7 linked regions of the Kluyveromyces lactis genome follow. The main gene of each other region encodes a partner of the protein of the gene in region 6 in a complex. Links are inferred from orthologs where the notes say so. Each region holds a gene or a part of one and is shown on either strand. Other genes may lie near its edges.

What was found.
Region 1: PRP6 (region 6) and SNU13 share a complex: the UniProt entries of both Saccharomyces cerevisiae proteins name them as parts of the U4/U6-U5 tri-snRNP complex. The link is inferred for Kluyveromyces lactis from reciprocal best matches to the Saccharomyces cerevisiae genes PRP6 and SNU13.
Region 2: PRP6 (region 6) and SNU114 share a complex: the UniProt entries of both Saccharomyces cerevisiae proteins name them as parts of the U4/U6-U5 tri-snRNP complex. The link is inferred for Kluyveromyces lactis from reciprocal best matches to the Saccharomyces cerevisiae genes PRP6 and SNU114.
Region 3: PRP6 (region 6) and PRP31 share a complex: the UniProt entries of both Saccharomyces cerevisiae proteins name them as parts of the U4/U6-U5 tri-snRNP complex. The link is inferred for Kluyveromyces lactis from reciprocal best matches to the Saccharomyces cerevisiae genes PRP6 and PRP31.
Region 4: PRP6 (region 6) and SMX2 share a complex: the UniProt entries of both Saccharomyces cerevisiae proteins name them as parts of the U4/U6-U5 tri-snRNP complex. The link is inferred for Kluyveromyces lactis from reciprocal best matches to the Saccharomyces cerevisiae genes PRP6 and SMX2.
Region 5: PRP6 (region 6) and SMB1 share a complex: the UniProt entries of both Saccharomyces cerevisiae proteins name them as parts of the U4/U6-U5 tri-snRNP complex. The link is inferred for Kluyveromyces lactis from reciprocal best matches to the Saccharomyces cerevisiae genes PRP6 and SMB1.
Region 7: PRP6 (region 6) and SNU23 share a complex: the UniProt entries of both Saccharomyces cerevisiae proteins name them as parts of the U4/U6-U5 tri-snRNP complex. The link is inferred for Kluyveromyces lactis from reciprocal best matches to the Saccharomyces cerevisiae genes PRP6 and SNU23.

What each region holds. Positions count from the first base shown.
Region 1 is NC_006041.1:2,008,473-2,011,688, forward strand, and holds SNU13 (RNA binding protein SNU13), read left to right. Parts: upstream 1-1,689; coding exon 1,690-2,070; downstream 2,071-3,216. Other genes in the region: GEF1 (Gef1p), read right to left, coding at 1-1,085; putative E3 ubiquitin-protein ligase HUL4, read left to right, coding at 2,528-3,216. UniProt on the Saccharomyces cerevisiae protein: Common component of the spliceosome and rRNA processing machinery. In association with the spliceosomal U4/U6.U5 tri-snRNP particle, required for splicing of pre-mRNA.
Region 2 is NC_006037.1:603,085-608,490, reverse strand, and holds SNU114 (U5 snRNP GTPase SNU114), read right to left. Parts: upstream 3,481-5,406; coding exon 679-3,480; downstream 1-678. Other genes in the region: EBP2 (Ebp2p), read right to left, coding at 1-388; TPO5 (Tpo5p), read left to right, coding at 3,640-5,322. UniProt on the Saccharomyces cerevisiae protein: Component of the U5 snRNP complex required for pre-mRNA splicing. Binds GTP.
Region 3 is NC_006040.1:1,252,151-1,256,638, reverse strand, and holds PRP31 (U4/U6-U5 snRNP complex subunit PRP31), read right to left. Parts: upstream 2,259-4,488; coding exon 855-2,258; downstream 1-854. Other genes in the region: KLLA0_D14905g (serine/threonine-protein kinase), read right to left, coding at 1-574; DNA-directed RNA polymerase core subunit RPC40, read left to right, coding at 2,612-3,616; GLD1 (Gld1p), read right to left, coding at 4,115-4,488. UniProt on the Saccharomyces cerevisiae protein: Promotes the association of the U4/U6.U5 tri-snRNP particle with pre-spliceosomes to form the mature spliceosomal complex.
Region 4 is NC_006040.1:658,111-661,507, reverse strand, and holds SMX2 (mRNA splicing protein SMX2), read right to left. Parts: upstream 1,372-3,397; coding exon 1,348-1,371; intron 1,270-1,347; coding exon 1,072-1,269; downstream 1-1,071. Other genes in the region: EMA19 (Ema19p), read left to right, coding at 1-365; GNA1 (glucosamine 6-phosphate N-acetyltransferase), read left to right, coding at 381-947; MDJ1 (Mdj1p), read right to left, coding at 1,914-3,329. UniProt on the Saccharomyces cerevisiae protein: Plays a role in pre-mRNA splicing as a core component of the spliceosomal U1, U2, U4 and U5 small nuclear ribonucleoproteins (snRNPs), the building blocks of the spliceosome.
Region 5 is NC_006038.1:47,539-51,069, forward strand, and holds SMB1 (mRNA splicing protein SMB1), read right to left. Parts: upstream 1,561-3,531; coding exon 985-1,560; downstream 1-984. Other genes in the region: CHZ1 (Chz1p), read left to right, coding at 1,997-2,515; Rab family GTPase YPT31, read right to left, coding at 2,855-3,468. UniProt on the Saccharomyces cerevisiae protein: Plays a role in pre-mRNA splicing as a core component of the spliceosomal U1, U2, U4 and U5 small nuclear ribonucleoproteins (snRNPs), the building blocks of the spliceosome.
Region 6 is NC_006042.1:395,644-400,845, reverse strand, and holds PRP6 (U4/U6-U5 snRNP complex subunit PRP6), read right to left. Parts: upstream 3,236-5,202; coding exon 578-3,235; downstream 1-577. Other genes in the region: LYS14 (Lys14p), read right to left, coding at 1-173; PHO89 (Pho89p), read right to left, coding at 3,577-5,202. UniProt on the Saccharomyces cerevisiae protein: Participates in pre-mRNA splicing. Part of the U4/U5/U6 tri-snRNP complex, one of the building blocks of the spliceosome.
Region 7 is NC_006041.1:138,288-141,874, reverse strand, and holds SNU23 (U4/U6-U5 snRNP complex subunit SNU23), read right to left. Parts: upstream 1,371-3,587; coding exon 810-1,370; downstream 1-809. Other genes in the region: AIM36 (Aim36p), read left to right, coding at 1-619; TPP1 (polynucleotide 3'-phosphatase), read left to right, coding at 1,600-2,307; proteasome regulatory particle lid subunit RPN6, read right to left, coding at 2,401-3,587. UniProt on the Saccharomyces cerevisiae protein: Participates in pre-mRNA splicing. Part of the U4/U5/U6 tri-snRNP complex, one of the building blocks of the spliceosome.

The sequences.
Region 1 (3,216 bases), on a different chromosome or scaffold from region 6:
TTCCATCTGCTTATGTATTTGCCATATAAACCACCAAAAATTCCAAGAAGGATGAATATTGGGATTTCTTCCACATGCCATTCTCTATCATAGGTGACTTCAAAAACAACGATCTTACCATTTCTAGATGGATCAATATATTGTAGAGCAGAAATACCTGCCAGAGCAATATAATACGACTTCCACAAGGCAGATAACTTGAAAGGAATAGAAGCTGACATCTCTTCAAGTGCAAATAAGACACCTCCAATAGGTGCACCAAAAGCTACTGCAACACCACCTGCCGTCGAAGCTGTCAAGTATTCGGATTGTTCTGGGAAGGCCATCTCCTTGCTCAAGAGCCAATTAGTAATTACATAACCACAACAGGTAGCATAGTGAACAGATGGTCCCTCTTTACCAACACTTAAATCAGAAGAAATGGCAAGCGGTAAAGCGACAGATTTTACTATAAGGGTCTTCAAATTCAAAAACTCCGGGGTATATTGGAAACCTGATACCCAGGATTTAATTTCTGAAATACCAGATCCAGTGGCAAACGGTGCAATGTGTAGGACCATCAGACAACTAATAGTTGCAAATGTGACCGATAAGAACATGAATAGCAAAAATGAAAAGATTGGATTGGTTGCTTCTACCCAAATACCTTTTTCGATACATTCGCTTTGGGATCTTTTAAAGAATATTTCTGCGGCATTGCCAGCCGAACTTATTATGGAACCATAACTCCTTTTACTGATCTCTTCTTTAGGACAGCAGAATGCCTTGTTTAACAACCAATTTCTAGCACAATGTCCAGATTTCCAGTTTACTAACAATTCAGTGAATATTTGTAAAAAACCAGCAATACCGCCAATGGAAAGCCCAATGGCAGTCAAAGTAATGAAACTGCTACCTCTTTTCCATATTAACCTGCGGTACTCATACCAACTCGAACGCGGTATATCAAATTCGTCATGCGATGTTCCCTTGGACAATTCACGCTTCTCTTCCTCAATCCAATCCACAGAAGTGAACTTATCGAAATTACCGACTTCTGGTATATTTCGCAGAGCCTGCTCCTCATTTACCTCTTGGTCAGTCATAGCTAGCTATTGCTCATCAATTGGGTCATACCTAAGTCAAGGGCAATACTATGAGTTTATTCATAAATGAGTTGATAAATTTACATATTGTAATACGTACATTTTTCAATACAAAGAAATATGCACCTTTGAAATTAGGTAAAGAACTGAGAGTGAAAGCAGCTCTTCCTGGGGAAGTATGAAGCATACGATGGGGAACAACAACTACAGACTGCGTGTTTTAGACCATAATAGAGTACTATAGCAATGGCGGAGAATGGCCAAATGATCACAATAGGAGGAATGTATATCGTTCTTCTGAATTAATATAGTGAAACAGCCGTACATTACACCAGTTTGTGATCCCATTTGTTTCTTTTTGCTCATCAGTCGAGGAATTCGAAAATTTTCAAAAATTGAAAAACTAAAGAAAATGATTTCAAGAGACTAACCTCATCTCATCTCGTTCCATCTCATCTCACTTTATGATAAAACTTTTTTTAGACTTGGACTTGATCCGATCTTATTTCTAGTCTTAAAACACCAGATTCAAGCGAGCTTTTCATTCTTGCAAGGAACTTGAACTGACCCAATCGGATACTTCACTTCATATTATAAAGAAATAATGTCTGCTCCAAACCCAAAGGCTTTCCCATTGGCTGATGCCACCTTGTCCCAACAAATCTTGGATGTTGTTCAACAAGCTTCCAACATGAGACAATTGAAGAAGGGTGCTAACGAAGCTACCAAGACTTTGAACCGTGGTATTTCCGAATTCATTATCATGGCTGCTGACTGTGAACCTATTGAAATCTTGTTGCACTTGCCATTGTTGTGTGAAGATAAGAACGTTCCATACGTCTTTGTTCCATCCAGAACTGCTTTGGGTAGAGCTTGTGGTGTTTCCAGACCAGTTATTGCTGCTTCTATTACCACTAACGATGCTTCTGCTATCAAAAGCCAAATCTATGCCGTTAAGGACAAGATTGAAACTTTGTTGATTTAAGAAGGATTTGCACATTTCGTGATTTCCTTTTCTTATTCTTTATATCAATCGTTTAAGGAGTTAACCGCTTTGTGGGGGGTTTGCATAGCAAAGAAAAGATTTACTGCACGTTCATTGATTCAAGTGATCGACAGGTAGATTTTTTTTTTACGACCTCTGTATATTAAACATATATATTACAATTAATACAACTTTTTGATACATTTGCATCCTTCTTAACAATGACATCAACATCTGATGGTTCTAGTTAGTGGTCAGTACATAGTTTTTTTTTGTCTGTTCAAATTAAGAAATGGTTACAGGCCTGTGTATTCCAGATGATATTGTCAGTTGGTAAAAAAAAGTAATAAATTTGACACAATCTTTTGTGCTTTCGACTATCCAACCCTAAATTTACAAGTTTGTTGAAATGAACTTAGAGGAAGAAGTCTGACTGTCCATCAGTAGCTGCTCGAATATGTTCAAGTTTAACCCATTACACATTGTTGGTAGGGAAAAGATAAAAATCCGCTATCAAAGTTCGGATAGGTTGGATTGTGAAGACCCGCCAAAATTTAGGGAAACTCGATGTAGATGTTGCGGAACCTTGTTACGACATCCTATAGACGCAGTTAAGTTCAAATGTACAATATGTGAGGTGACTGTTGTTTTGAGACAAACAGCAAATTCTAGGGATACTGAGGGCAAGATACTGCCGGACCTTGAACAGTTATCCAATATAGTTGGTCAATGTCTCGAATCGTATAAGAAAGATCAGACAGGAGATGAGACCCCCGCTAAAGAGCTTAACAGCTACTTCATTCCTGTGGAAAAATACATTGTTCAAAAATTCGGTACAGCGGAAGCTTTGAATCAATTATTCAAACCAACTGTTAAAGATCAAATTATAAACTACGAAAAAGCAGTGACATTTTATAATTTGATAGGCTCATTGCCTACCAAAAGACCCATTTATCTCATTTTACGTGTCTTTAATGAGGTTTTGAAAAGGCCAAAGATCCTAATGGATAAATGGGAGCACTATTTATTCATTTTTTTCATCTTGGAGGTACCTTCTTTAAGGCAATGTATTAACAACAGTACTACAATTTCTAGAACACCCAAGATTAAGACTTTAAGTTACGAAATATTAAAAAGATGTATTGG
Region 2 (5,406 bases), on a different chromosome or scaffold from region 6:
CTTCTTCGTCACTCTCATTATCAGATTCTTCTTCTTCTTCTTCTTCCTGCTCTTCTTCCTGCTCTTCTTCCTCTTCTTCTTCTCCCTTCTTCGAAGGCTCCTCGGCTTGCTGCTTCTTGGACAGCTTCTTCAACTTTCTCTTCTCTTTTCTGGACAAAGCGTGGCTCTCGTACTCGCCGGTTACCCCCTCTTCTTCATCTTCTGATTCAACTTCTGGTTCAACGTCCTCATCAGCTCTCAAGTCATCCTTGGTGACTATCACTGGCTCCTCGTCCTGAGCATTAGATGGACTTGGTTGTTTGGTCTTTTTGGATGTTACCTTCTGTTCGCTTTGGTCAATAGCCTTACGACGGTGCAGAAGCTCCTTCAACTTGAATCCTTTAACCATTGTTGCCGTTTTGCGTACCTATATGCCTTAGATTGAACAAGATCTAACCCTCACCCGTCAAGTTACAGCGCCTCATCTCATCCATCTCATCTCATCTCATCTCTTTATATTGGAAAATTTTTAGCCTTGATGCTTTGAGAAAAAGAAACGCCTCGAGACTTATAACCATTCTAACATATAGATTCAAGAGTTAACGGTTTATATATATATATATTTATCTGGGTGTGTTTGAGTATACTATATGTTACTTGCAGCTACTAATGCGTCAGTGACCGAATTCTATGCGGAGCCTATACAAATCGTTTTTGTTGCAACTTCTTGAATAGATCTTGATCAATGTATTTCTTTAATGATGGCCCGTCTTGAGTCATGTGACCACTTTCAGATAAACCCTTGCGACGTCTTGTCTTCATCACAAAGTCCCTGCTTAGGCTTGCAGCAGGCGCTGGTTTCAACTTCGGTATGAAGGCTTCTTCGTCAAGTACGTCACCTGGCACTTTTCTCCATATTTTATTCCAAAAGTGCATTTGACACATTCCGCTACCGGCGGTCGCAACACGAAGATCTGTCTCAAATCCAATCGACTCGATGACAGGTAATTGAGCCTTTATTTCTATGAATGGTGATGCCACTATCTTTTCTGTCTTGTAAATTCTTCCACCTCTGCGTCTCTTCAATAAATTCTGAATCACAGACTCCAATACCCCCGATACGATAATATCGACTTCATAGATGGGTTCCATGATAATTGGAGTAGCAGACATTAGCGCAATGTAACATGCCTTTCTCGTCATTGGCACTAGTTGAGATGGGATGATATCTTCGATGCTGTCTTCTTGTACCTTGAATTGCAAGAGTTTAAATTGGCATGCATGGATTGTTTCATCAGCCAATGGTCCTTCTTTCACAGCCCATTCAAACCCTTGTAAAATGTTTTCTTTATATTTCTTGAGTAGTTGCTTATCCGTTTCATCAGGTAGAGTATCGTCAATGAATACATTACATTTTGATAAATCCCAGCAGTTTCTAGCTGCCAATGAGTCCCATCCATACTCGGTTCTTAGACGTTTGGAGAACTTTCTCATGTTATTCAATTCTGAACTGTCGATTTCACCATGCGTCAAATCGTGTACTATCTTTCCATCTAATTTTTCGGCCATAACGCTGAGTGATACTACACCGTTGTTTGACTTTACAGGAATTGACGCGAACGATTCGTTCTGACAACTTTCCGTGAATTGCACAAGCGGTTGGCTTACTTTGATCTCAATTTCACAGAATTTTTTCCGTAATTCGTCCATCACGCAATCAAGGTAAAGTTCTCCTGTTCCAATTATGATGTTTTCGCCGCTTTCTTCAACTCTAACCACTAATGCAGGGTACAATTCGTTTGCTTGTTGAAGACCGTTCAATAGTCTCGGTAGTTCACTTGGTTTCTGAGGCTGTATGGCGAATTTGAACACCGATTCGTTGAGATAGTTAATTGGTGCTAGCGGGTTCATCAAGCTCGAAGACAAAGTTGCATATTTCGTATACTGATCTTCAAAACCTTTTAAAAGTACAATCTGTCCTTTTATTGCTTCCTCGAGTTCGTAGACATACCTACCTCCCATTAAGGCTACACGCTCAATAGTAACCTTGGAGTATTCATCATCACCAAAATCTACTACAGAGTCTACGGACTCATTGAAAATATAGAGTTTGTTGCCTTTTTTCACTGAGCCCTCTATTATCCGACAAAGGGACCACTTGGAACCTTCCAGGCTCATGTGTCTCAATACATGTACAACAGTGCTTTCATCGGATGATAAGTTGTTGATTTTGTGGTCCTGTGTTGAAACAATAGCATCGATGAAGCAGTGATAGTGCGGTAGTATAGCATGAAACACGCTAAAAAGTAGCGGCTGAGGATCCTTTGATAGAATCTCATCTGAAAGCCTGATTTGAAAATTGGTTTCGATGACTGTTCTTAGTTCTTCCTCGGATGCAGATAATGTATGAGTGAAAACCTTGTATAAAGGTTGTAAAATAAACTGAATGAATGCAATGTTGTCCGTAATAAATTCTGTTTGGTAGAATGCTCCTTCTCTGTAATTAATTTGACCCCAAAGTTGAGCAGCAAATTGTTCTGTCTTATCCTTTAACGATTTAGCGTAAAATGAGTTCACAAAAGACTCCACAGAGAATAAGAATCCAAACTTGGTACTGGCAAAGAGTACATTACCTAGCTCCGGTGAGAATCTTTCTTTGGTATATGTGTTTATTTCGTTCACGATATATTGTAGTTTGCTGTATGCGTCTGTAGGAGGAAGTCTCAAATCCAAAATTAATCTATCAATTTTGTTAAGAACGATGATAAAGGGGATCCCATTACTTATCAATTCTCTTATCAGTTTGGAAACTACAGAAGTAATTCCTTCTATCACATCAACGATGATTACACCATATTGGCAAGCAGTCAAAGCAATACCGACATCGTCCCAAAAATTTACATGTCCAGGTGTGTCCAACATCGTCACTGCATACGTACGTCCTCTTGACGATTCATATGCAAACGACATACCATTCAATCTAAGCGAAATACCACGTTCCTTTTCTATCCTCGCTTGGTCGAGGTACCTAAACGGTACCCATCCCTCCTTAACTTTTTTTGTCAAGGACGGAAGATTGCGATGAGTATCTAACGCAAACATATCCGTGAAAGAAGTCTTACCACAATGTAGCGCCCCGAAAATTCCAACATTTAACTGACGTTCTGGTATCGAGAAAAGGCTTTTCAAGTACCCTCTGTCAAATAGTGCTTTAGGTACTTTCCTGTTAACAGCTTCGCTATATGATTTCGAATCGTCCCCAATCAATGGTTTCTCAGGTTCTCTATCTTCCACTTCCAACAAAACTTCAACATCATCATCGAAATCACGGTTCACATCTCGAAGTACCACATCGGTAGAGTCAGCCTCGACTATCTTTTGCCGTAATTCATGTTGAGCTTCCTGCTCTCCTACTTCTTCCAAACTATCATCATCAGAATCGATTAATTGCATTGGATCCCCAATGAAATTACCGAACTCATCGTACAAATCTTCATCCATTATTGTATTTCCTTCCAAAAGTACTCAGTGCTGAGTCACGTCACCCAAATCGCAGTAGTCTTCCCTAAGAGCAATGCATGTGCTTATCATTCTATCTTCATTACTCGAAGCTTTGACTTTCGTCAACATTTACATAATGTCTAAGAACTGAAAATATCGATGAGCCCTCGAAAAGACAGACATTTTGCCAAGACGGATGCCGAAAGGGTTCTAGGAAATAAAAAGGGTGAGCTTACCAAGGGGTCACACAGAGCCGAACTGCATTTTGAAATGCCTGAATACATCTGGCTTTCTAATCTTAACGGGAACATACACATTCCCGAGCGATTGTTGTCTTTATTGAACGAGGAAGACCAGGATATTCCCGATGAGGTTAAAGAGTTTACATATGTACAGCAACTTGACAAGAATTTACTTTCGCGGACTTCTGTTATTGGTCTAGGGTTTGGGTTGATGAGTCCCGTACTTGGTATGAGCACTACTATGAGTATTGGATTGCTAAATGGTGGATCTCCATCGATAATATTTGGGTATCTGATATGTGGGATAATGACGTGGATTAGTTCACTGTCGCTCAGTGAGATAGTCTCGAAGTACCCCATAGAACTTCACGGTGCAGCGGCCATGCTTGCGCCTGGCAGACTTCGGTTGCGTATGTCTTGGTACTGTGGTTGGCTAATGTTGTTTGGAAGTTGGACGATGAGCACTAGTATTACGTTTGCGGGTGCACAATTGATTATTTCTTTGCTGACAATGACTAATGAATCTCTGATAGACTCCCGGTGGTTGACGTTATGGACTGTGCTAATGTTTTATCTCATTGTGACTGTGGTTGGAGTCATTAATCTAAAATTTTCAAGTTTCATTGAAACTATCAATAAGGTCTGTGTTTACTGGATCTTATATGCGATATTATTCACAAGTACACTTCTCCTATTATTCCAACCAAACCATAGATCATTCAAGGATGTCTTTACCAAATTCGATAATAGTTTGTCGGGGTATAGTTCTATGGCCTTGTCATTTTTAATTGGAGGGTTTCAGCAATCTAATTTCACTTTCCAAGGGTTTGCGATGTTATCGGCATTATCTGACGAAACTGAGAAACCAGAGAAAGATATTCCTTACAGTATGACACGCTCTGTGATAATCTCACTAGTTTCCGGACTATTTTTCTTGATCCCAATGATGCTCATTCTACCTGATGTCTCTGAGGTAATGAATCATGAAGGTGTCATGCCCATCGTGCTTATCTTCACAAAATCTACTAAATCGTTATTCGTTTCCATCTTCCTTGTTCTATTGATCTTGGGAAACCTATTGTTTTCAGGTATTGGCTCGGTGACTACATCTTCAAGAGCACTGTACAGTTTAAGCCGTGATCGTGGTATTCCATATCATCACCTCTGGACTTATGTGGATCCTGCGTCAGAATCTAAGGTCCCTAAATACTCCGTCATGTTGTCTATGGGAGTTTCATATGTATTGGCACTCTTAGCTTTAATATCAACGGCCGCATTCAATGCATTTGTCGGGTGTGCTGTCCTATGTTTGTGCTCTGCGTCAATGTTACCGATCTTATTATCGTTATACCATAGAAGAAAATTGGTGAAAGGTTCAGCATTCAGAATTAAATACAGGTTAGGTTACATCACGAACTGTCTCACCGTAATATGGTTACTGTTTACTATGGTTATCATCAGTTTACCGCAAAAGGTTCCAGTCACTTTTAGAAGTATGAACTATTCAAGCGTTGTATATTTCCTTTTCATGATTATGGTCACTGTCCTTTACGATAGATGGGGCATATATAATTTCCGTGCACCATTGGTGGGAGAGTAACCCATTAAATGCAACTGTAATACTTTCTAATGGAATTGCAGGGCTGGTACCTAGAAGAAGAAATACAAATTATCTTTATGCAAA
Region 3 (4,488 bases), on a different chromosome or scaffold from region 6:
TCTTTCTAGCAAGGTAAACTTGTCCATACCCACCCTGTCCAACTTGTGTAATCATTTCGAAATCCTTATGTTTCGGTTTCAAACGTCTTTTCCTTAGAATATTCGTCTCTTTCGTCAGATAACCCTGCCATTCGTTGGTAATTTGCTCAGTACCCATCAGGTTCGACCTTCTTTGCTCTTCCAAATAGTTGATCACTTGTCTGGTACGTTCTCTTCTGCTAATCACATAGTCGAACATATCACAATAATAATCCAAGAAATACATCTGACACACGGAAACCAATCTCTTGGATTTAGTCTTTGAGGACTTCTTATAGAAATCTTTGGGTAGTTTCTTTGGCGACTTGGTAATGTCTGCCGTCAAATCTCCCTGAGTATCATCGTCGATATCCATGAGCGAGTTTTCAGGGTTTTTTACTATCGATCTAGTAGGAGACGGAGAACCACGTATTCTCGTTGGAGTGCTTGGGGGATCTAGCATAACTTTAGCATCCGTATCAAAACTGAAATTGACCATATCGTCGACCAATGCGTCGACCTCCTTGTGACGACCATTCGCATCTCTTGTAAACATTTCTTATTTTAAACTGTGTGATTGAAGTATGTAAATAAAACCGTTAGTGCTTCAGGTCAGACACGTTACTTCTGACTTGACACAATGAATTATCGGCAGATCTGATCGAATAAGAGACCCTAAAGTTCAATGGTTAAGTTGTGTTCTTTGTTTAAAGTTTTCAATTCGAACATTGGATCATCTTTTTGTGTTTTGGTTTTGCCATAATAGGAATCGTAATTACAGATCTATGAATAGACATATACAGGGTATAAAAGGTACACGGCAGAACTATGGTGTCTCACAACCGTGGTTGTTTGCTGGTGGCGGGGTCCGTAGCTTGTGGGTGCTCTGCACTACGTTTGAGCTTTTCGGACCTCTCATCCTGTAGGAAACTGTGCGTGTTTTTAGTCTCTTGATCTAATCTTAAACGCATAGATTTACGCATTTTGGTCTTATTGAAAGAGGACAATGCGGAAACGTTCTTTGAATCGGCCATCCCGAACCCTATTTCTTCTCCGTATGGGTCCATGGTGGTCTGTTCCTCTTTACCGAACTCCATTCTGTTTTGCATTTGCCTTAGATGCGACATCTTGAACTGTTCTTTGTACTTACGGAACCTTCTACCAGCTCTTTTCTTCTTTGGAGCGTCTTCTGGGATCGGCAACGGCTTGATGTTACTGATATTCGGCGGATCTATTATCTTCTTGAGTTTTTCAACGATTTCATGCCTCCATTTCAAGCCCAGCTTCGAGGCATCTGAGTTCCCATCTGAATTCCCATCTGGGTTAATGACTTGATTCCCCATGGTGCAATCCGCTCTCGCAGCAAGAGCAACCTTGGCAGAGACCATTCTAAGCGCCTGTTTCTGGAACTCAGGAGGCTGTGTTTGTACCACGTCTGTATAGAATAGATATCCCTTTTGTCGTACCCCAGAGATATCTAACGATTTGCCATGCAACGTTTTGTCCTGGCCAATGGATGCCAAATTACAACTGGGAACCACACTTAGTTCTTTAACACTACCACAATGTGTTACCAGTTTAGCTGCAGTATCAGGTCCCAATAAAGCACATAAGTTTGGAGCTACCATTTGTATTCTTGTCTCAACATAGTGTGAGACGTTGTCCCGTAAGTTGTACAGAATATCGAACCAATGGATGGCCTTGGAGAGGAGATCCTTATCAATTCGAGCACCCTCTTTGAAATCTGTCTTTAGAGACATAGATACCACAAGGGTTTCCTCCTTCGATAGCACTTGGTCTAATTGCACGTTGGGAATATCCTGTTGCAGCATCTTGACCACGTCGACGTATTGTTTCCTTTCAGGGACAATAGTTTCCAACCCAGGGAACTTGGCCTTGTAGGTATCTACAATGCATTGAAACACCATGGAAAGCTCTGTATCGAATAAAGGCATCAATTGGCCCAGTTTTATGACATTGTAAGGCTCTGTCGTATGGTTTGTTGCATCTCGTATTATAGTTTCGTGCTTGGCAAGTTGGATGAGGTCATCTAAATCCGCGCCTTGGTGCCAGAATTGCGCGTGAAAGTCAGATATTAGGTTGCTAACACTAGGAGAGGGTAAAATATCCGATTCTGTGGCTATACCACTGGTTATACCACTGGTTACACCACTTAACCCATCATCCAAGCTTTCCTCATCGCTGACACTTCCATAATCTTCGTCATCTAAAAGGTCCATTATCACCTTGTGAAAGAGTAAGACAGGGGAATATGGTTATCCAGTTACAATCCAACTGTAAAATACCACATACTGAACTAACTGAGGATGGTCAAAAGAGCAGTAATCGACTAGTACCTGCTCTCGAGTAGCTATCTCATCGCATTTCTACCAATCTTTAATCATATATAATCACTCTATACGATGTGATCTTTTCTTTTCCAAAAATTTTTCAGTTCTTTAAAGCGATGAGATGAGCTTGAGATGAGGTATCTACACCGATGAGACGGACCTTGACCAGTGTCATAGGGCTTTTCTGAGGTCGTTTGAGAGCTCAAGAGGTAGCATAAACGTAGCAATACAATTGAAAAAGGATGTCCAATATCGTTGGTGTTGAATATAACCGTGTGACGAACACAAGTTCAACAGATTTCCCTGGATTTAGTTCGGATCAAGACAATTCATGGGACTTGGAGAAGTTCAAGGAAACTTTTGACGTACAAATCGAGAGTTTGGATGAGCGTGAAGTGAATTTCGATTTGGTTCATGTCGACACATCGATTGCTAACGCTTTCCGTCGTATTATGATCTCAGAAGTACCATCTGTCGCTCCAGAATACGTCTACTTTTTTAACAATACGTCTGTGCTACAGGACGAAGTGTTGGCGCATAGAATCGGGTTAGTGCCATTGAAGGTGGATCCAGATATGTTGAGTTGGGTGGACACGTCATTGCCCGAATCTGAAAGGTTTACAGATGAAAATACGATAGTGATGTCGTTGAACGTGAAATGTACCAGGAACCCAGATGCTCCAAAGGATTGTGAAGACCCCAAGGTTCTTTATAGAAACGCGCATATCTATGCTAGGGACCTTAAGTTTGAGCCTCAGGGGAAACAGGTGGAACAATTTGCCAAGTGTCCCGTGGTGGCAGCGGATCCAGATATCTTGTTGGCCAAGTTGAGACCAGGTCAAGAGATTTCGTTAAGGGCACATTGTATTCTAGGTATCGGTGCAGACCATGCCAAGTTCTCTCCGGTGTCGACAGCTAGTTATAGACTATTACCACACATCCAGATCACACAGCCTATCACCGGTGATGATGCCAAGAAATTTGTGAAATGTTTCCCTAAAGGTGTCGCAGATGTCAACGAGAAGGGTGAAGCTTATATCAAGGATCCAAGGAAGGATACCGTGTCCAGAGAGGTGTTGAGACACGATGAGTTCCAGGGGAAGGTTAAGTTGGGTAGGGTGAGAGACCACTTCATCTTTAACGTGGAGAGTTCTGGTGCTATGACACCGGAAGAAATCTTCTTCAAATCGGTCAGGATCTTGAAGAACAAGGCGGAATACTTGAAGAACTGTCCAATCTCACAATAAGAAGCCAATTCGCATGTTCTCTATTTAATATCATCCACTCCCTTCCATACACAGACAAACCGTGCATCATAATTCCATTTCTTTCATTCCCTGTATCATACGCATTAAGCCACTCAGTGAACAGATTAGGCACTTATATATATTCATATATAAAGAAGCCACTACATCTAAACTAGTTTAATGTACATTTGTTTTTAGATTCAACTGTGTTACACCATCGCATCTACATTTGTCGGTTCAAACGTCTCCTGATCCTGCGCCATTGGCCGTGCTTTGGTTATAAGATTTTCGATCATGGCTTTTGGATCCACTTCGAGTATCAAGACGTTACCATTATATCCGTCACTCAGATCACTCTGGGCTTTCTGTGTATAGGTTTCGTCCGCGACTTCGTGATCTTTGAATGGTGAGATGGATAGTACAGTTACGAGGAATAGCCCTACTTGAAAGAATAGAATTAGCAGTTGGTAGAAAAGGTACGATGCGTTACCCTTAAAATTACTCGAGGGCACTCGTTCTCCAATATACTGGGTGAACCCAGTGCCTTCTCAATTCCCCCTCTATTATGCCTGTTCCATGGTTAAACGGCGATGGGTAGTTTTCTAGATGTGATATCCCAGGCATTTTGAAGTGCTCCAAATTCTTCTCGAAGTCTATTGGCCATATGATTCCTGCGAAAATGACAAAGAAGTTGAGCAGTAATGTGGTGTGTATTAAGACCAATTCAATTCTCTTGAAAGCCTTCCTGAGTGCAACGTTCGGATCAGTTCCGTCGGTCGCTTGGGCCCTGTAGTAGTTCATGAATGCCAGGAGTCGAGTATCGGTTGGGTATGGTGCATTTAAAAGTGATTGAAGCGCAAGCCGTATCACAA
Region 4 (3,397 bases), on a different chromosome or scaffold from region 6:
TAGATGGTTATATTGATAATTTCAATGATTTTCTAACTGCCAATCCTCCAAACTGGCTCAAATATATGACAATCATTGAAATTTTATTCCAACTGCCTGTGGCCATATATTGCTTATACCAGCTGCTAAACTTGTCAAAGTCAAAAACTATCAAAAGAACTTTATTCACAGTGGACCGTCTATCTAAATGCTATGCATTCAATGTCATCACCACCACTAGTTTTTGTATATGGTACGTTTGGGCCTATGGGTACTATCCAGCCACGATGAATACCGATCACGTGTCATTGAGTAACCCGGACAAACTGGCGCTAACGATGGTCTACGTTCCTTATGTTCTAATTCCAGCATTATTCTTTGTATAGGCACAATGATTAAATATGAACCATGATAAAAGAACCTTTATAGTCTCTTTGTTACATCAACAATTGATATTACCATTCATTTCTACCATCATCCTGCCGTTAATTGGAATTCTTACCATGTCATTACCAGAAGGATACACAATTAGAAGAACCAAGAAAGATGATTTTTCTGGGGTTACATCTGTGCTGAAAGTGCTAACGATGGTTGGTGATGTGAGCCAAGATCAATTCCATTCACTAATAGACCATTGGGATTCAGTCACGATAGGAGATATACCTATGTACAATAGCACTGTGATCGTTGACACAAATGGGGAAGTTGTCGCCACAGGAAACGTGCTAGTCGAGAAAAAAGTTATTCACGAATGTGGGCTTGTTGGTCATATTGAAGACATTGCAGTGAGAAAAGATCAACAGGGGAAGAAATTGGGATTGATATTAATTCAGTATTTATACAAATTAGCTAACGAGTATGGATGCTATAAAGTTATTCTTGATTGTGATGAAAGTAATGTTGGATTCTATGAGAAATGTGGATTGAAAAAAGCTGGTGTCGAAATGCAAATCAGATTCGACAAATGATGTTGTAACCAGTGTGCGCTCTATCATATCTATCCTTCCTTTCTACTAGCATAATTCATTGTACGTAAATGTCACTAAGTAAAGTGTTCCGACACATTGAGTTGTATTTGTCTCCCTTCTGCTCTTACAAACTGTCAAGAGGTTCTATCGATACAATGGAGTTACCTCTAACAACAGTCTGGGGTCCCATTTGGACCTCTCCTTCTTCGAAAATCTGTATTGGATTATCCAGTACTAAGTTCAAAAATGCATCATATCCTCGTAATATTCCAATAATTTTCCTATTGCCGTTAAGCTGTAGAATGAGTTTCTTGTCCATGTACTGTTTGCAACGAATCATATTATAGTTAGTAATTTAAATTCTGATAAGATTTTTCCTGGAAAACAGGGGTAAACATACTTTTCTCAAATCTGGAGATGTCATGGAATATTGGATGGTTTATAATGGGTCGTACGGAAGTGATAAGTCGTAGATATAGTCTCTTAACTCTTGGCAAAAGTCCTTCGAAATTTATCTTCAGTATATTTCAATTGATGAATTTTGTACATAATTATGCTTTTTCCATTCAAAAGTAATTTTCAATGTCACAATGTTAAGAAGACAACGATGGTCAGAATAAGTTACTAAAGCATATCGACCCTTACTGAAAACATTCGTTGTCATTGGCATGAATTTCAATCCCGAGCTAAATATGGTAAGTAGGGATAACTAGTAAGAGAATATCAAAACGATAAGTATTATGCGCTAAGTGCAATTATATATATATATAGGGAAATTGGTATTTACATGATGTTAAAGGGTTTTATAAAATAATGTGCAGTATATGCAATTACTGGCTATGACTGCTGTAAGTGGTACATGAATAATGAGAATGCCAATGTCGTAATTAGTTCATCCAATCAAAGAATTATGAAAGAATGAAGGTGGAATGTATGACGGGAGAGCATATATGCGATTTAAGGATTTCATTCCCCTCTGATCTTCTTTAAAGTGTTAGACAAGAAATTTTCCAATTTCTTGATGGTTCCTTCATTGTTTTCAACTGTGTCTTTATCAGCAGAGGAAGAGTTGTCCTTAGCCGACGATCCAGAGGGAGTAATGGTCCTTCTTGCAGTGGTATCATTGGTCAAGTGGGCCAAGGTCTCCCATAGATAACGTTCTGTTTCATCCTTTGGTTTTTTGATAACAATCTTGAACTTGACAAGCATGTCACCCCTGTCACCTCTAGCTCCACGAGGGACACCCTTATTTGGAATTCTGATGACTTGATCGTGTTGAGTACCAGAGCTGACCTTCAATCTGATCTTTTCTTCCTCTACGGTGGGTACTTCAATGACGCCACCTAGTGCTGCCGTTGTAATTGGGATTTCCTGAGTGTAAATGATGTCGTAATTATTTGAAACTTGGAATCTTGTGTCTTTCCTGACTCTGACACGAATCAACAAATCGCCTCTGGTTAAATGCAATTCAGATTTCATGGACGGATCGATAGCCATACCGGGGTAACTACCTTGGTTAGGTACTCTAATTGTGTCACCGTCCTGAAGTCCGTGAGGTAAGTCTACGGTGATAGTTTTATTTGAATTCAATTTGAAACCGTGGCTATGACAGGTACCACATTTATCGCTGTCCTTAATAGTTGAACCCTCACCATCACATGTTTGACAAGTAGAGGCCATTTGGAAACCTGCTCTTACATGTACCTGAGTACCTGTACCATGACATGTAGGACAAACACTTCTCGAATGTCCAGCTTTCAACCCACTTCCATCACATGACGAACACGGATCGTAGCATTGGTAATTCAATTTGACATTCTTCACACCGAAGACGGCATCTTTGAAGGATACTTGGAATGGTACAGTGACATTCTCACCTTTATATTCACGGACAAAATCGGAACCGCCAAATCCTGCTCCATGCGAACCAGCTCTCCTGCCTCCGGCACCACCACCACCACCACCACCAAACGCACTTCCGAAAAGATCTTCAAAGTTCAATCCACCGAAATCGAACCCTCCAAAGCCTCCGAATCCTTGTGCACCACCAGCACCAGCACCGCCATAGGCACCGCCTGGTCCACCGGCACCACCAGCTTGGCTGAATGCAGCAGCACCGAATTGATCATACTGTTTCCTCTTATCTTCATCGCTTAATATTTCATACGCGTTTTGCAAATCATGGAACTTCTTCTGAGAGTCTTCTTCCTTATTTATATCCGGATGATACTTCTTGGCCAGCTTGTAGTACGCTTTCTTAATGTCGGACTGACTGGAGTTCTTGTTAATCCCAAGGACCTTATAAGGATCCTTAAACTCTTGTCTTAGAAGTCTTGCCGTATGGAATTGACGTGGGTATTGTAATAAATATCTCTTAAACATATGGATATGGGGAAATGAGTTTTTTCTGTAACTCCCTAGTACGTATTTGATCCTATTAAATCTCGCCT
Region 5 (3,531 bases), on a different chromosome or scaffold from region 6:
TCACTCTGTGATGGATCTTCTCTTTCCTGATAAGGCTTTTGAAAGGATTATGTTTCACATTTAAGTTAATAGGAACTAAACGATTCAGGAAAGAGACGAAAGAAAGATAGTGGGGGGAAGACATGACAAATCGTGGTAACTACCCATATATATATATGTATGTATATTTAAGTACACGGTGTATTATGATGATGATGATGATTACGGTGCTTTGGTAAGTTAAAGTGGGTTGGATTTCCACCATCTTACGACAAAGACTGAACAGCTGGACAATTAGAAATTAATGACGAGACTCTATGAAAGCAACGGAGCTTGAATTTGCACAAAGATTTTTTTTTTATTCAGGTAGATTACTCCAGGGAGAATAATTTTTCCGAAACAATCAATGGTAATTTCTGGGGGAAATTAGTGGAAGCCTCACACGGAAAATCTCGAAGTGGTTTTTCCGGGATGCTTGAACAATCAGTAGGACTATTTCTCCGGATTCCTATAAAAAAAACACACACTCATGATATCGTGGCATGCGATATATTTGTTGTTTTTGCGAAACTTGCAAACTCTAATTCTTGCCCGTTCTCAGCTGAGAGATATTCCGCACCATGATTGTCCAGTTGGAAGCCATATTTAACACATAACATTTCTTTTGTCCGCAGGGCTATGGTGGGGTCATGGGGTATATCTGGAGGTTTCGTATAGGCATTTGGTGGGGTGGTTGAAAAGGGAATGAGGTGGATAATCATATTTCGCACAGGCTTTTAACGTTGCGCAGTACAGGGATATCATTACACTGGATAAAGCTAGATAAATTCTATATCTTCTTGTTCTAGTCGTTACAGTGGGATATCCAAAGTCCTCTGCGTGTACGTAAGAGGTAACTAAAGACATATCTATCAACATGTCTCGGATAATTATAGCTAAGATCGGTGATCGTAGCACCAAAACAATTTTTTTTATATCAATAAGTATGACAAGTTGTTCGCTGGTTTAGTTTCTTTTTTTGAAGCCTGGAGGGGCTTGGAACCGGCTGGGGCGTACCTGACTATTAGAATTAAACCTACTGGGAGCTCCAGAATTCGTATTGATAGGTTTATGACTTGGCTTCGTAACTCTATTTGAACTTTCTGAGTTAGTTGAAGTTATATTAGATCCATTCGTTCCAACGTTCATCTTGTTAGAAGTCTTCCCTTGACGAGCCTTTTTCGCATTATCTAATTTTTTTGCATTCTTCTTCTGGACTTCGATTCGTTCCTTCTTAGAGAGTTGGGGAGGTGACTCAACCGAGGTACTCAACACATGCTCACCCCGTAAAATTATTAGTCCAAAAGTCCTTCTTTCGACTTGCACATTGCTTGACAAGTTTCCTCCACTTTTAAGTACTTCTATGATTTGTTTATGAGGCATGCGTTCCTCTACACAATCTCCCATTACAAGGTTCATATATGCATCAAAAGCCATAAGTTGGCCAATATAAACCCTTCCGTCATGGGTAGCGACTCGTATTCTATAATCTATCAAATCTGATAGCTTCGTTTCCTTCTTTTTAACTTCAACTTGCGACATCGTCCTTGTATCTTTTGTATGATATGCTTAGAGATATAACTATTCTTCTTGGTGAACAAAGAAAGTGAAAAAGACTGTAAACTCGATTGTAAGAGGTATCCTTATATCATGCACAAAAAAGCGGTCCGTAGCAGTGATTCTTTATAGGACCAACGCAAGTTACTCATTGATCGTGAAACTAGTTAATGTTTTAATTTTCGATACAACATGATAGTTAGAATTCATCCACTATGCGGCTATGAAAAAAAATGATCACGTGGAAAATTATGTTTCTTTGGGATTTGAGATAATATGAATTATATTTGGTTCGCAAGATGCGAAAAGGAAACAAATACTGGTAAGCATCTTTAGATCAAAAAAAGCATTGCGTGAGCCTAGGTCGTACTCCTCGAACATCAGCACACTAATCATATCAACAGATACAAAGTTTGCAAATATGGCTGAAGAAATTAAGGATAAGCAAGAATTTCAAATAGGTGCAGAAGAGCCTGACTCTTCCAACGTTGCTTCACAAGCTAAAAGAAGTGCTGAAAGTGAGCTTGCTTCTACCGCTGATGCCAACGATAAGAAATCTAAAAAGAAGAGAAGAAGAAGAAACTATGATGATTTGGATGAAAAAATTGCTCAAGAAGACAAGGCATCTGCTACTTCTGGTGCTAACAAGGAAGAAGATAGTGAAAGTGAAGTCGATGACGAAAAATTAGATCAAATGATGGTAAAAGAAGATGAAGAAGAAGACGACCTTTCAGAAATCGATAGTTCCAATATTATAACTACTGGTAGGAGAACTCGTGGTAAGATTATTGATTATAAAAAGACTGCCGAGAAATTGGAAAAAAATGGTGAGGTTGGCAAGGATGATGATGATGATGAAGACGATGAAGAAAATGACGAAGAGTTCAAGGATCCAGCTGCTCCTGCCCCTGCCCCTGCTAGTCCGACTGAACCCAAATAGAAATTTGAATTAAAAATTTACTCAAGCGCATATAAAAGTTTGTAGTTTCACTAAATCTCCATGTTTGACATTATGGTAGTGTTTCATTTAAAAGAACAATGGATACGACGCAATGAACTGAGAAGGTATTTTGCAGTTAAGAAGTTTCAGGATGTCCTTCCAAACAGCTAGTATTTGCATAATTATGGCAGTCAATGTTATATACATAAAACAAGTGTCTAACTTAATCGGGATAAATGTCCCAGTCGATGATAATTCTGCTTCCCTTTTTCTTTCCGGGGCTTATACTTTCTATATAAACACCCTATAAGGAATGACCATAATACACGTTTAGAATTCCTAACAGCAGTTGTTTGTACTCTTTTTGTGTTTTTCGTTTGGTGCCGGTGTCAAAGAGATCGTAGGTCCCTTTGGAGCGTTGGCATTGTTTCCTGAGGCGTCATTCAAGTCTAGTTGATTTTTGGAAATCATTTGGTAGATAGCAGTAATCAATGCTCTGAACGCTTCGTCAACATTGTCAGCATTCAATGCACTAGTTTCCGTGAAAAGAAGTTGATTTTCTTGAGCATAATTCCTAGCCTCATCTGTTGGAACCGCACGTTTATGATCCAAATCAGATTTATTACCAATGAGTCCAACAGCGACATTTTCATCGGCATTTTGTTTCAATTCAGCCAACCAGTGGTTACAATTTTCGTAGGAACTTGATTTAGTGATATCATAAACTATTAAAGCGCCAACTGCCGCCCTGTAGTATGCTGTGGTGATTGCGCGGTAACGTTCTTGGCCAGCAGTATCCCAAATTTGGGCCTTTATCTTTTTACCTTCCACTTCAATGGTCCTTGTAGCAAACTCTACACCGATAGTAGTCTTTGAATCAAGGTTAAATTCATTAGCTGTGAATCGCGATAGCAAATTGGATTTACCAACTCCAGAATCTCCAATTAGCACGACTGTTAATAAGATAATCGTATCCAGCAAACCACAATAATACGGTTTTTTGATATAATTTTCGG
Region 6 (5,202 bases):
GCTAGTAACGTCGAAGGAGACAGAATATGTCTGCTACTAGCTGGGAATAGTGGCGGCTGGCTTGCCCTGACACTTTGGGTCGGTGCTGGTGCCTCAGGTGCCGCACCTTGAGACACATACGATGCTGGAGTGAGACAATCCAAACTCTCATTGCGTCCCTTGCCGAACGACATACTTTTTCTGACCTATCAGTATATATATATAACTTCCCTGGTAAAAATGACGTGGACCTCGGCGGGTATTTAAGACTCTCAACAGCTGCTATCGATGTTTTTCACTTCACCTCCGATCCCTGTCGACTACCAATACTCTTCGCAATTTCGAAGTTCCATTTTGGTTGTTCGTTTTCAAATTTTCAAATTCCACTGGAAAAAGTTCTCTTTGATAGATATAAGAGCTGACTCTTTCATAGCAGAGAATCAGATCACAACGGAAAAATACACAGAACTGCCGCATATACTGGGTTAGTTACGATTGAGGAACGGAACTTCTGACAATGCGGAAAGTCAATTTACAGTCGCATCAGTGTTGTCCCAATTTTTATTATTACAATCTTACAATCTTACATTCTATCTAATTATTGGTGTAAATTGTTGATAATGCTGTGCAAAATATCAATCGGAGAGTTTGATATGTGTAGGTATGAGTTTACTGCGGGCTCCCATAGTATACCGTACCTGGGTTCATTTTCTTTCAATTTCTTTAACGTTTTTTCTTCATTTATTTGCAAATCAACTGGATTCATGCACGACTCGCAGATGTAGAGCCATACCCATGGGTCCCCAAATTGAAGATTATTTTCCGAGGCTCTTATGAACCATTTATATGCCTTCGCGTATTGGTGTTCCTTTTGGAACACTTTTCCGATCTCAGTTATCACCATTGGATGCTCTTTTGTAGCTTCGAGAGCATCTTGGAATGTGGTTTTACGTAGTGATTTTTTAGGAAGGGTTCTGATGTTTAGACACCAGAGCCTCCAGCTGTGTGGACACGCTTTGAGACCCTGAGCGATGAGGTACGTTACTTGTTTGTTATCTTTCACTTGCAGTTCCAATGTAATGAGAGCCTCGTAGAGTGTATCGGATTTTGGATTCTTTAGTAGAGAAACGCTGAGTATTGAACGCGCTTTGCCCCAATCTTGTGTTTCCATTACCAGTCTGGAGAACTCCAAGCACACTTCTGGATCATGATTAGAAATATCCGTAGCCCTCTGTAGCACACGCTTCGCTGATGAAAGGTCCCTTTGTTGCCTGTATAGCTGTGCTTTCAAGATTAGTAAATGTTTGTCGTTTGGTTCACGTGCCAAAGCTATATCAACAGTAGAATGAGCTATTTCCAAACTGCCTTTAGATTGCAAACACTTAACGTAAAAAGGAACTAATTTATCAATGCATTCTACCAAGTGTGATTCGGCTTCTTCAAAGGAATTTATAATCTCATCCAATTTGCCATCTCTGTTCAAAATTTTGAGTTTAGCCAACCAAAACTCAGGATACGCCGAATTTGTCACCAGAGCTTTATCTAAAATCGACAACGCTTCAGTGGAACCAGAACCCCAATCCCAAACGTCTTTCGCATACATTAAAACCAAGACAGGGTATTTCTTTACCGCTTGAGAATCTGTAAAGAGGATCTTCCTGAATGTTTCGTGTAGCTCTAATTTCCGCGAAAAGTCTTCGGCGAAATTGGTGAACTCCTTCCAAATAGAGTACTTTGTTGGATATTTGATTAGGAAGGAGGAAAACAAGGTACACTGAAGTGTGGTGTCGTTTACCAACAGCTTCGAGAGACTTTGGAAATTTGAGGATGCGTCTTCAAATAAGTTATTGATGGTAGCTGTGATGATTGCTTTCGCTGTTAATGGATACAATCCTTCTGTTGATATAGCGACTGCATTTTCGAACCACTCAGTAATAGTTGGATTAACTTCCAGTTCATGAAGATCCTTTATTGCGCTAGAAATGATATTTACCAACGTATCGAGATTTGCGGTCGTTCTTTTTTCTTCGAGTTGACATTTGAGAAGCCAGTATGTGATGTCTTTTTTAATATGTTCTTCAGCAGATTTCAAGGTGTCCACTGCAGATTCGACTGATTGTAACCTTATCAACTTCAACCATAACTGCGAATCCTTCGGCACTAATTCAACTGCTTTCTTCAAAATTTTCAGCTTTTCAAGAGTGGAAGTTTCAAGATTTACCGCCACTTCCCATAATATAGAGCTTAGTGGTAGTTTAATTAGAGCCTTTCGAGTGACTTTAATTTTATCAGTATTGTGTTGTTCGAGGGCGATTGCCTTCAACCACAACTGCTCACTAAACTCGTTGAGCCTTAAGGCAACTGTAACCAACCTCTTGCAATATTCTTTATCGGATGCGTTCATGCGTATCGATTCTAACCAGATAGCTTCACTTTTAGGGCACAGTTTACAACCTTCCGCTAGCAAACTTTTGGCTCGATTGAACTGATTGGCTCTTTCTTCGATTCTTGCTGAAGAAATCCAGTTTTCTGGATTTCTTGGATGGGATTTACGATACGCGGCTAATAGGGATCTGTTTTTCCTAATGTCTTCCAAATCCGTAGATGAAATAGTGTTGTCATCTTGGTTCATTCTATTCAAGTATTCAGCATCATCCGTAAGTTGACTTTTGCTGTAATCAAAACTCTTATCTATCTGGACAGCAAGTAACTTTTCCCTCTCTTCAGTTAACTTGGATAAGTTGACATTAACCTGGAACAAAGTGTCAGGAGCAGCGAATGTTTTCCTTTCAAGTTGTTCCTCTATTCGATTCCTTTTGTTTCGTCTGGTCATATCAGATGCGTCAGGGATATCCAGCCAGTCTTGCTCAGAAAGAGTTGCTAAATTACGCTTCAAATCTACAAATTTAGAAGATAGCTTGTCTGGTTCATCATCTGGCTTCGTCTTTAGGCTTGTTTCATTGTCGATAATTTTTTTATTCTTAAGTCGCTGTTCGATCTTTTCGTACACTCTCATCTCTTGTTCGTCTTCATCTTTAACCTGTTTCTCCGATGATTCATTCGAAACTGCTGATCTGTATCTATTTGGATTCTTTGTTACAGAAGTATCTGGTGCATCTCGCCCATATCTATTCAATCTAGCAGGAACTCTTTTATCATCTTTACTTCCTCTGGTGGAAAAGCCAACCGCTCCACGACCTATACCAGCGATGTAACCAGGTGGTGGAGATTGTTTTAGGAAACTGGGAGTCTCCATGCCTATCACCGTGATAGTTGTTTACTCAGATGATTTACTAGTGAATAGTTTACTGTATGAGATGTCCTTTCGATACAAATTTTAAAGGTTTTGTTTTTAAAGATATTCTACAGATTCTTAAAACAATAGAGAATAAGCGTTGATAGAAATAAATATCGATTCTGCTTAGAAAGAATTAAATATGCAGGCTAATATATGAGGAAATTTGCAGAATCTATAATACCGAATATGTTCTATATTTGTAGCAGATAAACTATTATCTAGCTAGTGCACAAACAATTAATTAATGAAAGTTCCTAAAAGGCGCTGAGGCCATGAGAAAGAAAATATCAATCTGATGATTATGATAATTGGTAATCTCCACCGTAACGTGGTGCGTTCAAGATGATACCGTTCAAGATACCTGCAATGAGACCAGCCATTGGAAGAGTTAAGAACCAACCACTGTAACAGAAAGCGACCATTCTCCAGTTAACGGATTTCAAATCCCTGTTACAAAGACCAACGGCCACAATACCACCGACAGCAACTTGAGTAGTAGAAACAGGAATACTTAATTGTGTTGCCATAACAGTGGTAACAGCAGCACCAAGTTCAACGGAGAACCCTCTGGATGGAGATTGCAAAATCATCTTGTTACCCAAGTTCTTGATGATTCTGTAACCGTATGTCCAACAACCGAGGACCAATGCAGCGGCACAGTATGCTAAAACCCATGTGTGAACGTCAGACTTAGATTCCACAGTGTTTTTCTGCCAGATGTCATACACGGCAGCTAGTGGTGCAGTGGCGTTGGCAACATCATTGGCACCGTGAGCAAAAGACATAGTGGCGGCGGTAATAGCTTGCAAGATAGAATAGATGAATTCGATTCTGTTGTCATAGAAGGCAGATCTCTTGTACATGTCCTTGAAATCTGTTGACAAAGCACCTGTATCGTAGACCTGAGAATGAATAACATCTTGAGTCCAACCGTGAGAAGCAATCAACCAAAGTAATAGAGGCCACTTCTTTGGTCCTTGTTTTAGCAATGACCACCATAGCTGTTTGGTAGTTGGTTTTTCTTCTTGCAAAGTTTCTGTTTGCACCAATTTGATACTTTGGTTGACAGATTCCTTGTCGTTAATTTCAATATGTCCCTCTACAGTATCTCTTCCATCGGCGGTGTGGGAAGTTTCAATTTGGGTTTCATCATCTCCGGCAGTTTCATCTTCGAATCTTCTACCTTCGTAGTAATCAATGGTTAAAGATTGTCCAGCAGGTAGAGGTGGAATGTCGTCAGTGGACTTGAAGTAGAAAGTTGGGCCTCTGTAAATATCATACCATTTTAGGGTCCAGTCTCTGTGCAAGATTCTTCTTCTGTAGTATGGGTACAAGAAGATGAAGTAAACAGCACAAGCGACTAGACCAGTAAGAACAATAGCCAATGCGGTAGTTGTGCCAGACAATTTATCCAACTTCAAGTTTGGAGAACCCTTCCAAACGATCAACATAGTCAACACCGAGAAGGTAGCGAACACCAAAAATCCGACGAGTAGTAAAGCGTTCTTAATAGCTTTTTCAATTGGCTTAACATCCAAGACCAGGAACTTGGAGATCAAGAAAATAATAGTGACCAAGCAACCGGCTAAGATTGGAGCAATAAACCAAGAAGCAATAATTTGAGAAACACCACCCCAACCCCATTGGACACCCTTGGCACCACCGGCAGCAATACCGGCACCGATGGTACCACCAACGATAGAATGAGTCGATGACACTGGCATACCAATAGATGTCGCAATTGAAAGCCAAGTGGCAGAACCGACAAGAGCACATGCCATAGTTAACATTAACACAGCTGGATCATCTTCGAAAGGTGAAGCAGAAATAATATTGTTCTTGATGGTACCAGAGACTCTAGCACCCGCTAAGACAGCCCCCAAAAATTCACATAAAGCAGCAAGGATCATAGCCTGCCAGTATTT
Region 7 (3,587 bases), on a different chromosome or scaffold from region 6:
TCCGGTCATGCGCCGGATGCTGTCTGGAAAAATGGATAAAGCTGAAGAACCACCAAGTTTTAAAACCATTTTACTTGTTGGTTTAGTTGGGACTGCTATTTTTGTTAAGGCAGTCGACTCTTTGGAACAGAACAAGCCTAAAAACACGTACACATTCTCTGAATTTGACACTGTGATGAGTGGTCTAAGAAGAAGAGTTTCGATCTTTGAGCAAGATGATTTAAATTTAAGATGTGTGCAAACCGGAGTTGCAACCAAGAAACTGAAATTCCCCGAAGATGCGAAGGTTATCAAACCTTCAGAAGCTATTGAATTCTTCAGAAATAAGTCTGACGATAAATATTATGTGCTTTTAAATGATTTATATGAAAAGGAGGGGAAATCGTACATGGAAAAACTACCAACAGGTCTCTCTGTCGTCTTGATAGGTAAATATATGAAGGAGAAATGTCAAAAGGGTGACACTGTTTATCTACTTGACTTCCCAGACAATATAAAAGATGCGATCAAGTTCGAAAATGAGGTTTCCGTTATCGACAAAGTTATTGTACCAAATTCAGAAGGAGACGGCCAGGTTTCCAAATACTTTAAAACCGTGGATAAAGTTGAGACCATCTAAAATGACCCCTCATGCCATTTTCCCCATCGGCACCCTTTTGCATATATCTGGGGACTTCCTATAACAATCCATCCAACTTTATCTCGATTAAACTTTGTAAATATCATCAGTATCTAATTGCCATTCAGCAGAAGTACGTTGTGAATAGTGGGATGTAGATATGCTTCGAATAAAAACGTCAATATTTATGTTATTTCTTGGAACTTCCGAATTCTGTGAAACCCATTAACCTGCCGATTTCAGACTGTGGTTGATATTTGATTTCTGCATCAGATTTCTCACATTTGACTCTCTTTGCCGCTTTGCGTTTATTGGATCTCAATTCAGTGTCCCCGATAAATGCTGATACAGATTTATGAAACTGGGATCGTACCTCATTAAGTGGTACTAGATCATTATCCCTCGTATCTTTTATCAATGGCTCGTTGAATATGTTCTCAAACCGTACAACATGTGATTTGTGATTCAAATGGTTAATGAATTGTAGTGTGTCTTTGAAGGTTAAGTCACATATGTCACAGTAAAACCCGAACTGTTTACCTTTTTTCTGCTGACTTAGATTGGCTGATAACGTCTTTTTATTGATGTCGCGTAGATTATACTCGAGTAAAGCATTGTAGTCTGTGTATCTATCTTTTAAAGCTTTCAGTTGTTCCTGGTCTAATGATGAAAGATGAGATTGCCCTCCTGGAGAAGTTGCTGCCTTGGCAGCATACTCTTCTCTATTCCATGTTCTTCGTCCAAATGACATATTGATTTATAGTGAATAGTACTCCTTCTCAGAACTCAGTACCTGATCTCTTCCTAGGTCATGGAACTTATTATGCATGTCAACATTAAATTAGTTGATGTTTTCCATATTGGATCTTTTAAGTCATTTCATCTCAAAAGAAGGCATAAATGGAACTACAAATTAGTAAAGTACAAGAGTATTTCAAAGGAGTCAGCCATTGTCATATTAATTGTAACAGTTTGCTATCATGTCACAGTCTACTCATAAGCTTACCATTCTCCCTCATATCATAAAATGGGTTCCCAAAGATCCCGCCCCTGTAAGGAAGGTCATCTCATTTGACCTTGATCACACCGTGATCAAACCAGTTAAAGGCCGATTCAGTAGGACATCAGATGATTGGATATTCATGAAATATGGAAAAACCGAGGTACTTGCTAAACTTTCGGCACAAATGAAGGAAACACCAGATTTTCACATCGTCTTCTTCTCCAACCAAGGCGGTGTTGTTAGTGAACCTAGAACCTCTAAAAGCTGCGTAAAACACGTTGATAAAATTTGCAAAGTATTGAAATACATATCGGAAAACGATTCTCAACTGTGTGATCGTATTTGGATTTACTGTGCTACTAAAAAACCAGCTTCCCTTTTTGGTGGCAGCAAAGCCGCCAGCACTGCTCACGCAAATAAAGTTGTTAAGAACATTATTTCTGGCCAGAAGAAAAGAATAAACGGGACAATGGTAACACCTGAAATGTTTGATAATGTGAGAAAACCCAATCGTGGTTTGTTTGATGAATTTCTTAAAGATTCTGACGAACAATCGGACTCAATTGAACTTTTATTTTACTGCGGGGATGCTGCAGGAAGACCAAATGATTTTAGTGACAGTGACAAAGAGTTTGCTAAAATATTGGGCGTACCTTTCAAGGTACCGGAGGAATACTTTATTTGAATTTCGAATGATCTTAAACCTACGTAAAATATATTTATTTACTAAGTTACTTTAATGATTGAAGGATGAGCGTATTATAATGAATTTTTAATTTTAGTATAATACAGCGGCTTTTTCAAAGAGTTGTTCTACAACTCCATTGAGTTGATTGATCAATTCTAACGAAGAATCATAAGTGGCATCCTGTTGTGGTGTCTCATAAATATAAAGCCATCCGTTTCCTTGGTCAAGCACACCAAAGAAAACTTTGTCTAAAATCATTTGTGAAAGTTTGCCCTCTACTTGTTGAGCATCAAGCCCGATAATCTTTGAGATATGCGATACTTCAACACATTCGAATGGTTCGATGATCTTACTAAGATTTGATTCCAAAAGGGTGTCGTATAATGCATTGAAATGTGATCTAATGAGTTCATCGCCCATCAATTCTGTCTTATAATTTTGCATTGCTGTATTGAACTCCAGTAGGGATCTATTATTATAAGCCTCAGCGACTGCCTTCATGGCGTCAATTCCGCGACTTTGGTAGGTCTCCTTAGTATATTTGGCGTTCAAGATAGTTTTCACTTCATCAATCAAATTAAGCATGATCTTTGAAAGAAGCATATACTTTAGCACTTGACAAGCTTTTCCGAATGTGTTTGAGCCAGTTTGGCTGTGGAAGGCTTCAAAGGATTCATAAAAGTATGAGAAAGCAGTCTTATAATCTTTGTCTTCACAGTGTAAGATACCACTCATTAAATCCAATTCTGCCATTGTCAATGTTGGACAATAAATCGAATTTGCGGATGTTCTAGCACTTGTCAAAGCAGCCTTTGATTTAGTCAAATTTCTTAATTTATGGTACACTTTACATTCCAATAGATGAACTTCGAGCAAAGACGATTTATCGTCCAATTTCTTAAACTGCCTCAACAAATCATTGATCAATTGCAAGGATTCGTTGTAATGCGTCTTTTGGTAGTAAAGAGTTGCCAACCTAATCGATAGAGAATGCTTTAAAAAGATTCTCTTCTCCTTTGTGGCAAAGTCGATCGAATCTTCGCATATCTCGATTTGGGTATCCAAGGAATCGGGTATCAATTCGAAATCGTTAAGTAACGTCTTTAAAACTTTGGCAATCTTTGATTTCGCTACTTTCATCATGTATTCACGAGAGCGTGGTACAAACTCGGCGAGTTTCTTCAACTGATGTGTGGTACCATACAATTGACCTAGCTCAAGAATACATTGTTCCTTTTCTTGAGCATCTTTATTGCTAATTGATTGGGGTTGTGCGG